Ovis aries: one gene and its partner. The protein of the gene in region 1 interacts with the protein of each later gene in a pairwise test. Links are inferred from orthologs where the notes say so. Each region holds a gene or a part of one and is shown on either strand. Other genes may lie near its edges. The genes, in order: TNPO2 and CAMK2D.

What was found.
Region 2: the proteins of TNPO2 (region 1) and CAMK2D interact in binary tests that used the Homo sapiens proteins (3 or more experiments, as listed by UniProt). The two-hybrid records come from large-scale screens. The link is inferred for Ovis aries from reciprocal best matches to the Homo sapiens genes TNPO2 and CAMK2D.

What each region holds. Positions count from the first base shown.
Region 1 is NC_056058.1:11,096,121-11,099,930, reverse strand, and holds part of TNPO2 (transportin-2), read right to left. Parts: intron 2,587-3,810; coding exon 2,526-2,586; intron 2,431-2,525; coding exon 2,265-2,430; intron 2,062-2,264; coding exon 1,909-2,061; intron 145-1,908; coding exon 1-144. UniProt on the Homo sapiens protein: Probably functions in nuclear protein import as nuclear transport receptor. Serves as receptor for nuclear localization signals (NLS) in cargo substrates.
Region 2 is NC_056059.1:12,176,772-12,180,681, reverse strand, and holds the start of CAMK2D (calcium/calmodulin-dependent protein kinase type II subunit delta), read right to left. Parts: upstream 2,771-3,910; 5' UTR 2,654-2,770; coding exon 2,589-2,653; intron 979-2,588; coding exon 884-978; intron 1-883. UniProt on the Homo sapiens protein: Calcium/calmodulin-dependent protein kinase involved in the regulation of Ca(2+) homeostatis and excitation-contraction coupling (ECC) in heart by targeting ion channels, transporters and accessory proteins involved in Ca(2+) influx into the myocyte, Ca(2+) release from the sarcoplasmic reticulum (SR), SR Ca(2+) uptake and Na(+) and K(+) channel transport.

The DNA of each region.
Region 1 (3,810 bases):
CGGGGGGCTGGCTAACCACCCAGTGGGCATAGCGGCTCAGGGTCCAGCAGGCGATGGAGCGGACCAGGGCCTTCTTGTCCGACAGGCACTGGATGAGGTGCGGGATCAGCTCGGGCAGGTAGGGCACCATGCCCTGCATGCAGCCTGAAAGGACCGGGCACAGAGGCAAGGCTGAGCCAACTGGGCCAGGCCACATCCACCCTTCTGGGCAGAGGGGGAAACTGAGGCATGGAGGTTAGTAACTGTCTCAAAGGCACAGAGTCAGTGAAAGGCAGGGTGGGGATGGGAAATGGCATCAGACTTCCTTGGTGGTCCAGTGGCTAAGAATCTGCCTGCCAATGCAGAAGATGCGGGTTTGATCCCTGGTCTGACAAGATCCCACATGTCTCGTGGAGCAACTAAGCCCACGTGCCACAACTACTGAAGCCCATGCACCCTAGAGCCTGTGCACCGCAACAAAAGAAGCACCTCAATGAGAGGCCCCTGCGTCAATGCGTAGGCTCTGCTCGCAACTACAGAAAGCCTTCGCAGCAACAAAGACCCAGCACAGCCAAAATACATAAGTAAATACTTCCCTTTCCATCAGCCCCACCCCATCCCAGGGCTTGTGCTGCCATCTGGTTACTCTATGTGTGTGCTCAGTCGTGTTCAACGCCTCGCGACCCCATGGATTGTAGCCTAACAGGCTCTATCCATTGGATTCTCTAGGCAAGAATACTGTAGTGGGTAGCCATTTCTTCCTTCAGGGGATCTTCCCAACCCAGGGATCAAACCCACGTCTCTTCCATCTCCTGCACTGAAGGTGGATTCCCTACCACTGAGACACCTGGGAAGCTACCTGCTCACTAGTTCATAGATGGTTGGGCTGCAGAGTTAACTCAGCCTGTATGGGCAGCAGCAACCCAGATGGACAGGAAGCACCTTTCTTTTGAAACCTTTCTTAGATGTCTGTGACTTTTTTCTTACTTTTCATCTTCCCTTTCTAAAAAACAAAAATTCTGAATGTGTCTGTCTCTCTTTTCACTGCAGATCACAGCATACCCCTTGACCGTCCCAGCCCTGAGATCTATTTTCACCAGTTCAGGGTCAATTCCTTGAGATCTTTCCCATTAAAATGAACAACACTTCACATGTTCCAGCAGACCTGGGTGCTGAGGTAGTTGTGTGTGTCTGCTATCACAGATCTGGAAAGCCCTCTGGTAATTCACCCTGTGCACACCGTCAGGACAAAGGGAGCCAGAAAAGTGAAGGAAACACCACCTCTGCACACTTCTGATCCTGGCAGGCCAGCCTCGCAGTCAGAGCAGGTCTGAAGCCCAGCTTCATCCCAGGTGACAAGAGAAGTGGTGTAATTCTCTTTGCAGCTGAGTTTCAAGAAACCTACCTCCTCGGGTGGCACTAAGCCCACAGGACAGGGCTGCCTGTTATTACTGTTGCTGAACTATGCTTAAGACCTCATGGAACTGCCTTTCTTTGAGAATTAAGGAAAGGACTTGCATTTGGGGGTCCCTTTCAGGCCTTTGGGCTGAGGTGGTGGTTGTTTAGTCACTAAGTCTTGTCCGACTCTTTGTGACCCCATGGTCTATAGCCCGCCAGGCTCCTCTGTCCATAGGATTTCCCAGGCAAGAATACTGGAGTGAGTTGCCATTTCCTCCTCCAAGGGATCTTCCCAACCCATGGATCATGCCTGCGTATCTGGCATTGACAGGTGGATTCTTTACCACTGGGAAGCCTGATCTTGGGCTGAGGGGAAGATTCAAATCCCAGAGCTGCTTGGAGTGGGCTGAGCAGGCCACTGGAGAGAACCTGGGGATAGCCTCACCCTCACCAGCCCTCCCTGGCCCAGCCCCATCTCACACCAGCATAAGGCTCAGAGGTCACACACAGTCAGGCTGGAGGGTCACTTACCCTCAGCAATGGCACCCAGCACCAGGATGCCTGACTCCTTGACCACCCACTCGGGGTGGAAGAGGAGGTCCTTGAGCAGGGGGAGCAAGTGGGGCAGCAGTTCCTCCCGGAAGACGTTGGCCAGGACATCCAGTGCAGCCGCCGAGCACTTCCCTGGGGCGGGAGGGGAAATCGGGGGGCGGGCTCAGGGAAGCACATGGGGCAGGCCACCAGCCCTCCTTTCTGTGACCCCTGGGATCCAAGGTTGTGATTTGAATCTTTGTGATTTGCTCTGCATAGGCTCCCTCCCTCTGAGAGGGAGCCCAGGGCCTGCTGTCCCCTACTCCTCACTTCATACTGCAGGCCAGGCCACTCACTCAGATTCCAGTCGGACAAAGCGTCATCGTCATCATCGTCCTCCGCGTCCTCTGAGCCGTCAGGCCGCTCGGCCTCATGGGGCAGCGTCACCGTGCGTGACTTGTGGAAACGTGGCTTGATGTCCTGTTCACTGTCAGGGACAGCCTCGTCCTCCTCAACATCCCCCTGTGGAGTCAGGCAGATGGCTGAGAACCCTAGAGGCCCCCAGCGCCCCAGCCTTCCTTCACCCTGCCAGTGACTGGTGGTCAGCCCTAGCTAACCTTCAGCAGGATGATGTCGATTTCCGAGTACTTCATCCCTTTTACCAGGATGGGGATCAGCCTGTTGGAAGAGAGGCTGTTAATCAGGATGCAGGGGCCCTAGAGACAGCTTACAGCCTGGGGAAGAGGGAAGTGGAGAAGAGTTGCAGGCAGGAGCATCAAGGAGCCGAGGGGTAGACTGTACATGCCAATTCCATTTGTCCTGCATCCATTAATTTCTCTTAGTGGATACTATTCCGAACCGAGTCTCAGCCACTGTGACTGGGTCAGAGCTGACACTACTCCTAGCTCTACAGGAATGCTCTTGATCCAGACCCCTGGCCACTCAGTGAATTCCAGACCCCCACACACTCTGAGAAGCTTGGAATAGTGCCTGACCCCTTGATGTTTAGTCGCTAAATCCTGTCCAACTCTTTTGGAACCCCATGGACTATAGCCCATCAGGCTCCTCTGTTCATGGGATTCTCCAGGGAAAAACACTATACTGGGTTGCCATTTCCTTCTCCAGGGAATCTTCCTGACCAAGGGATCACACCTGTCTCCTGCACTGGTAGGCAGGTTCTTTACCACTGAGCCACCAGGGAAGCCTGATCCCTAACGTGCCATAAAGCAGTGATACATGGCCCTGCCCTGTCACCAGGCACTTCCTGGCATGGGGCCAGGTTGGGGAGCTAACAGGCAGGGCAGCCTCCCCAACTCCGCTGGAACCCATGCACCTCAGGATCAGATTTTTTTTTTTTTTTTTTTTGATCAGAGATTTTGACTAGAGACTTCACTGAGTCGGGGACAGACAAGTGATTCAAGTTGATCAAAGAGGATCAGCCTTAGAACTTCTACAGAGACACTATAAAAGAGTAATGTAAAGAGAGACTGTCTTTACTCTGAGGTTCCCAAGCTAGAAGGCTGCAGAAAGTACTACCATGAGGGCAGGCTGTGCCTGAGAACAAAGTAGACACAGAGGAAGTAGATCTGAGCCCAGATGGTCTGCTGTTCACATCCTTTGAGCACCTGGATCCAGCTATGCCTGAAGCCTCTGCTGCCTTTTTTCCCCCTCTGGCTGTGCCAGGTCTTAGTTGGAGCACACAGGATCTTCACTGTGACATGAGGGATTTTTAGTTGAGGCATGTGGGATCTAGTTCCCTGACTAGGGACCTAAACGTGGGCCTCCTGCATTGGGAGCAAGGAATTTTAACCACTGGACCACCAGGGAAGTCCCTCTCTGTTGATTTCATCTTTTCCACCTATAACTTAACCTAATTTTTAATCCATTAAAGCTACATACCTA
Region 2 (3,910 bases), on another chromosome or scaffold:
GGATTTCTTTTCTCATTACTTAAATCAGGTCACTGAAAGGGGCTTACACTATGGCATTTTCTTCATTTTAATTTCATCAAACCATAAATTCCCATGAAAATATTAATACCTTAGACACGTGCTCACAATAATTGGAATGCCGAACCTTTTGGTATAAGTACTTTTGCATGAGTTCAACAAAATAAAAAGAATGCAATGAGACCCCTCCAAGTTTTTTGCTTATGTCAACAGCTATTTTATGAGTATGAATTATCTTTGCAGTTATAAAGCATGTGTAAAATACATTACATGAGTGAGAAGTCTTACTGCAGATGATCAAGTAAAGGTCTAAACTGCACTCAGAAACATCAAAATCAAGCTGAATTTCCTGGAATATAGCAACCATAAAATGTTCCTCCCAAAGCCATTACTGTTAAATATACCTTAATGAATTAAGTTCAAGTGTAACTACAATTGAAATATATGATTTAACTGAGTTATGACCTATTTTTCCTCTCAAAAGCAAAAGGGAATAATGACAGTTGTGAGACTTACATTTTTCCATTCCAGGGTTTTTCTGAAAGTTATTTCACAGTGGAGCTAAAGGCAAATTGCACTTAGTGACATGTATTTGCTTTAAAATGTAGTTAGTTATGTTATTACCCACGGAAAAGGTAAGATTTTAATAACAATTTATCAAGTAACAATTGTATTTTGTCACATTTTTAAACTGCACAAACCAAGAAGCACTCAGGAAGGAAATAATCTCAAAAGGTAATATGATACCTACAGCTACAATTATAACTAAATGACTTATTTACATAGAACACAACCAACATACAACAGAACCAATAACCAACAGGACAAATGCACAATTAACATATATGTGGTTGAAAATACCCACCCCTAGCAGAAAGCTTTTTGGTGTTGATAATTTTGGCAGCATATTCTTGTCCAGTAGGGATTTTCATACATCTTCTCACCACTGAGAATGCCCCCCTGAAAACCAATAATTAGCAGGTCATCAGTATAATCAGCTTGATATTCTATTAAAAACTTACATCTGAGTATTTTTATTGAATTTAGTGAACTGTCAAATATCAGTGCACCATATAGTAATAACTAGAAAACGAACAATCCTTCCTGGAAACTCAGGCCTTCTTTAACGTTGAAGAACAAAAATAAATTTTACTTAACTGGGAGCACACATTATTAATCAACAAAATGAAAGGAACTGCCAATAATGACGACTCTTGTTTGCACATGAAATTTGAAAACATTTTACAATTCACACTCAGCACCAAATGCTCTGAGAAAAAATCCTGCAAAGAGCTGAAGAGGAGCAGCAAAAATCTGCTGCCTATTTATTCTGGTAGGAAAAAAAAATTAATGTGGCTCCAAGTAAGTAAATATGGCGATTGCTTTCATTAAAATAAATCTTAGGAATATTTGTGTGTGGTTTAACAAATCCTGCTGTGGTGATTTCTCTCTGCCCTGTTTTGGACTGGGGGAGGGGAGAGATTTGAATTAAGCTGCTCTTCCGACATATTCTCCATGTTTTCACAGCAGACAACATAAATATATGAGGATGTGATCTTCATTACATTTAAAAGATATTTACACGTCCTTTAACTCAACTGTAGAAAACAACAACATACACATAAATGCACCTTTCTTGAGTAATGTTCGACATTAGCGATAGTGGAACTGGGGTTGGGTTTGATGCTACATAAATTAACGTTCACGGCTCGGCCCCTAGGTTCTTTTGCACAGGTTCTCAGTAGGTCTCCTGTCTCCTTCCTTAACATTGCCAAGTAGTCCTGTCGGTCAGGTGTAGAAGGTCGTTTTCAAACAACATACAACGTTAGGTTACCCCTGGGAAGCACTCTCCCAGTCTCCAGAGGGCTTTTCCACTGCCTGTGTAAATAAATCCTCCCAGAGAACTCGAAGATGTTCATGTAAATCCTAGGAAGGGTGATGATAAGCGAGCAATCTAGTGCAAGGAATAATAGTGGATATGGGACAGGGGGTCGAGTTCGTTTGGGAGGCTCTTTTCCCGGACAGAACAACTACTGGATGCGAAACAGACTCTACGCCAAGTTGAACTTTCGGCATCAATAAATATGGCACCGTCTGGGGCAGTGAGTTCTCATCTGAACGTGGGTCGTATGGCTGACTCGCCGGCGAACCCGGCGGCATCTCTATTTACAGAAAACGTGATCTATGTTGCATTTTACATGGGTTCTTGTTTCCTCTTCATACACACACGCGCACGCGCGCGCGCGCTCGCACACTTCTCAGGATGACAGCTACAACTGCAGGGATCGTAAATCCACTAAGTCTCTAGTGCAGGAGGGTGGGGGAGCGGGAGAAGGTGGGCTAAGGATTATCAGAAAGGGCCACAGCCGGGGTGGAAGGTCTTTCCCCTTAGTCGTCCCCTCCTCTTACTAAGACAACACCTTCCTCCGAGCCGACACACCGGGGGCCCTCCTCCCTCTCCTCCCGTCTCCCAACTCGCTCGCCCCACGCGGGAGGCCCGTGGGTCGGGGGTAACACGACCCGCCCTCTGCTGGAAAGGGGACGTGCGAGTACCCGGCAAAGGCGCTTACTTTCCGAGCTCCTCGAAAAGCTGATACTCGTCCGTGAACCTGGTGCAGGTTGTAGTCGAAGCCATCCTCGGTCCGGGCTGTCCCCCTGGCTGGGAGCGCGGCGGACCAGACGAAAGCAGACGCGCGGCTTCCCCGGGACTCGCCCCGCGGCGCTGTCACCCAGGGCCGCCCTCACTTTCCTCGTCCGAAAGTAGCTCGCCGGCGAGGGAGTGTGCGCAGGGGCGGGGCGGGAGGGGAGATGACCAGAGAGGGTGGCGTGGGGTCTCCTCCCTGCTGTCCGCCGATCCTCCTCCTCCTCCGGGCCTCGCTTCCTTCTTCTCCCGACGCTCCCTCCGACCCCTTTCTAGACCCTCTCCCCAGATGCAGGCGCAAAGTACTCAAGAAGAGGGGCCGGGAGATGGAAAACAGCCGGGCACGGGGCGAGAGGCGAGCAGTTGCGAAACGATCCGCACCGGGGCAGGAGGGGTAGAGGCGGAGGGGAGGGAGCCCGAGGGGGCGGAGGCCGCGGAGCCGGGAGCGGACGGCGCGAGCCCAGCTGCAGCTGTCAGCGGGCGCGGGCGCGGGGCGCGCCGGAGCCGGCCTCCCTCCCGCCCGCACCTCGGCGGCCTCGCGCTCCACACGAGCCCGCGGCGGCTCCGAGACTGCGCGGCGAAAGACAGCGCTCCGCTCGGGCGAAGCCTCGTCCGCCGTCCCCGGGCCTCCGCCTCCGCCCCAGCGCCTCCTCCCGCCGCTCCCTCCGCCTGCCAGTGCCCCCTCCCTCCCGAAGCCCCCTGGTGCCGATCCTATCCCTCCCGCTAGCGACTCTCACCCTGTCCCTCCGCGGATTCCTCCTTCCCTTCCCTCCCTCCCCGGGTCTCACACGCGCGCACGCCCGTCTAGGGAGAGACCAGGTGGGTGGAGGAGGATGTGCGGGGGAGACGCCTGGAGAGGGTGTAGGTGAAGGAGGCGAGACAAGAAAATTACAGTTAAACCCGCAATTAGGCTTCTGCCGGAACGTGGGGCCGATTTAGCGGGAAGAAGCGGGGTAACTCGTGGACTGCGGAAACTGCGGCCGGGGGTCGCGGGGGCCCCCAGCCTGGGTGTGGACGCCGGGCACCAGGGACCGCCCCCCGAGCCGCGGTGCCCCGGTAGGGCCAGAGGTGCAGGCGCTTCGTCTCGGCTTGAGTCGGTGTTGACACAGTGGGGGCCGGATGTGGGCAAAACGCTGCTTCCAGAGACGGGTCCCTGCCTCCCCCAAGCCCCGATGATGGTGCGCCCGCCCCGGCAGAAGCCACTGCGCCCGCTCCCGGGCGCTCTGCGCGGGGTTCCTCCCTCCCCCGCGG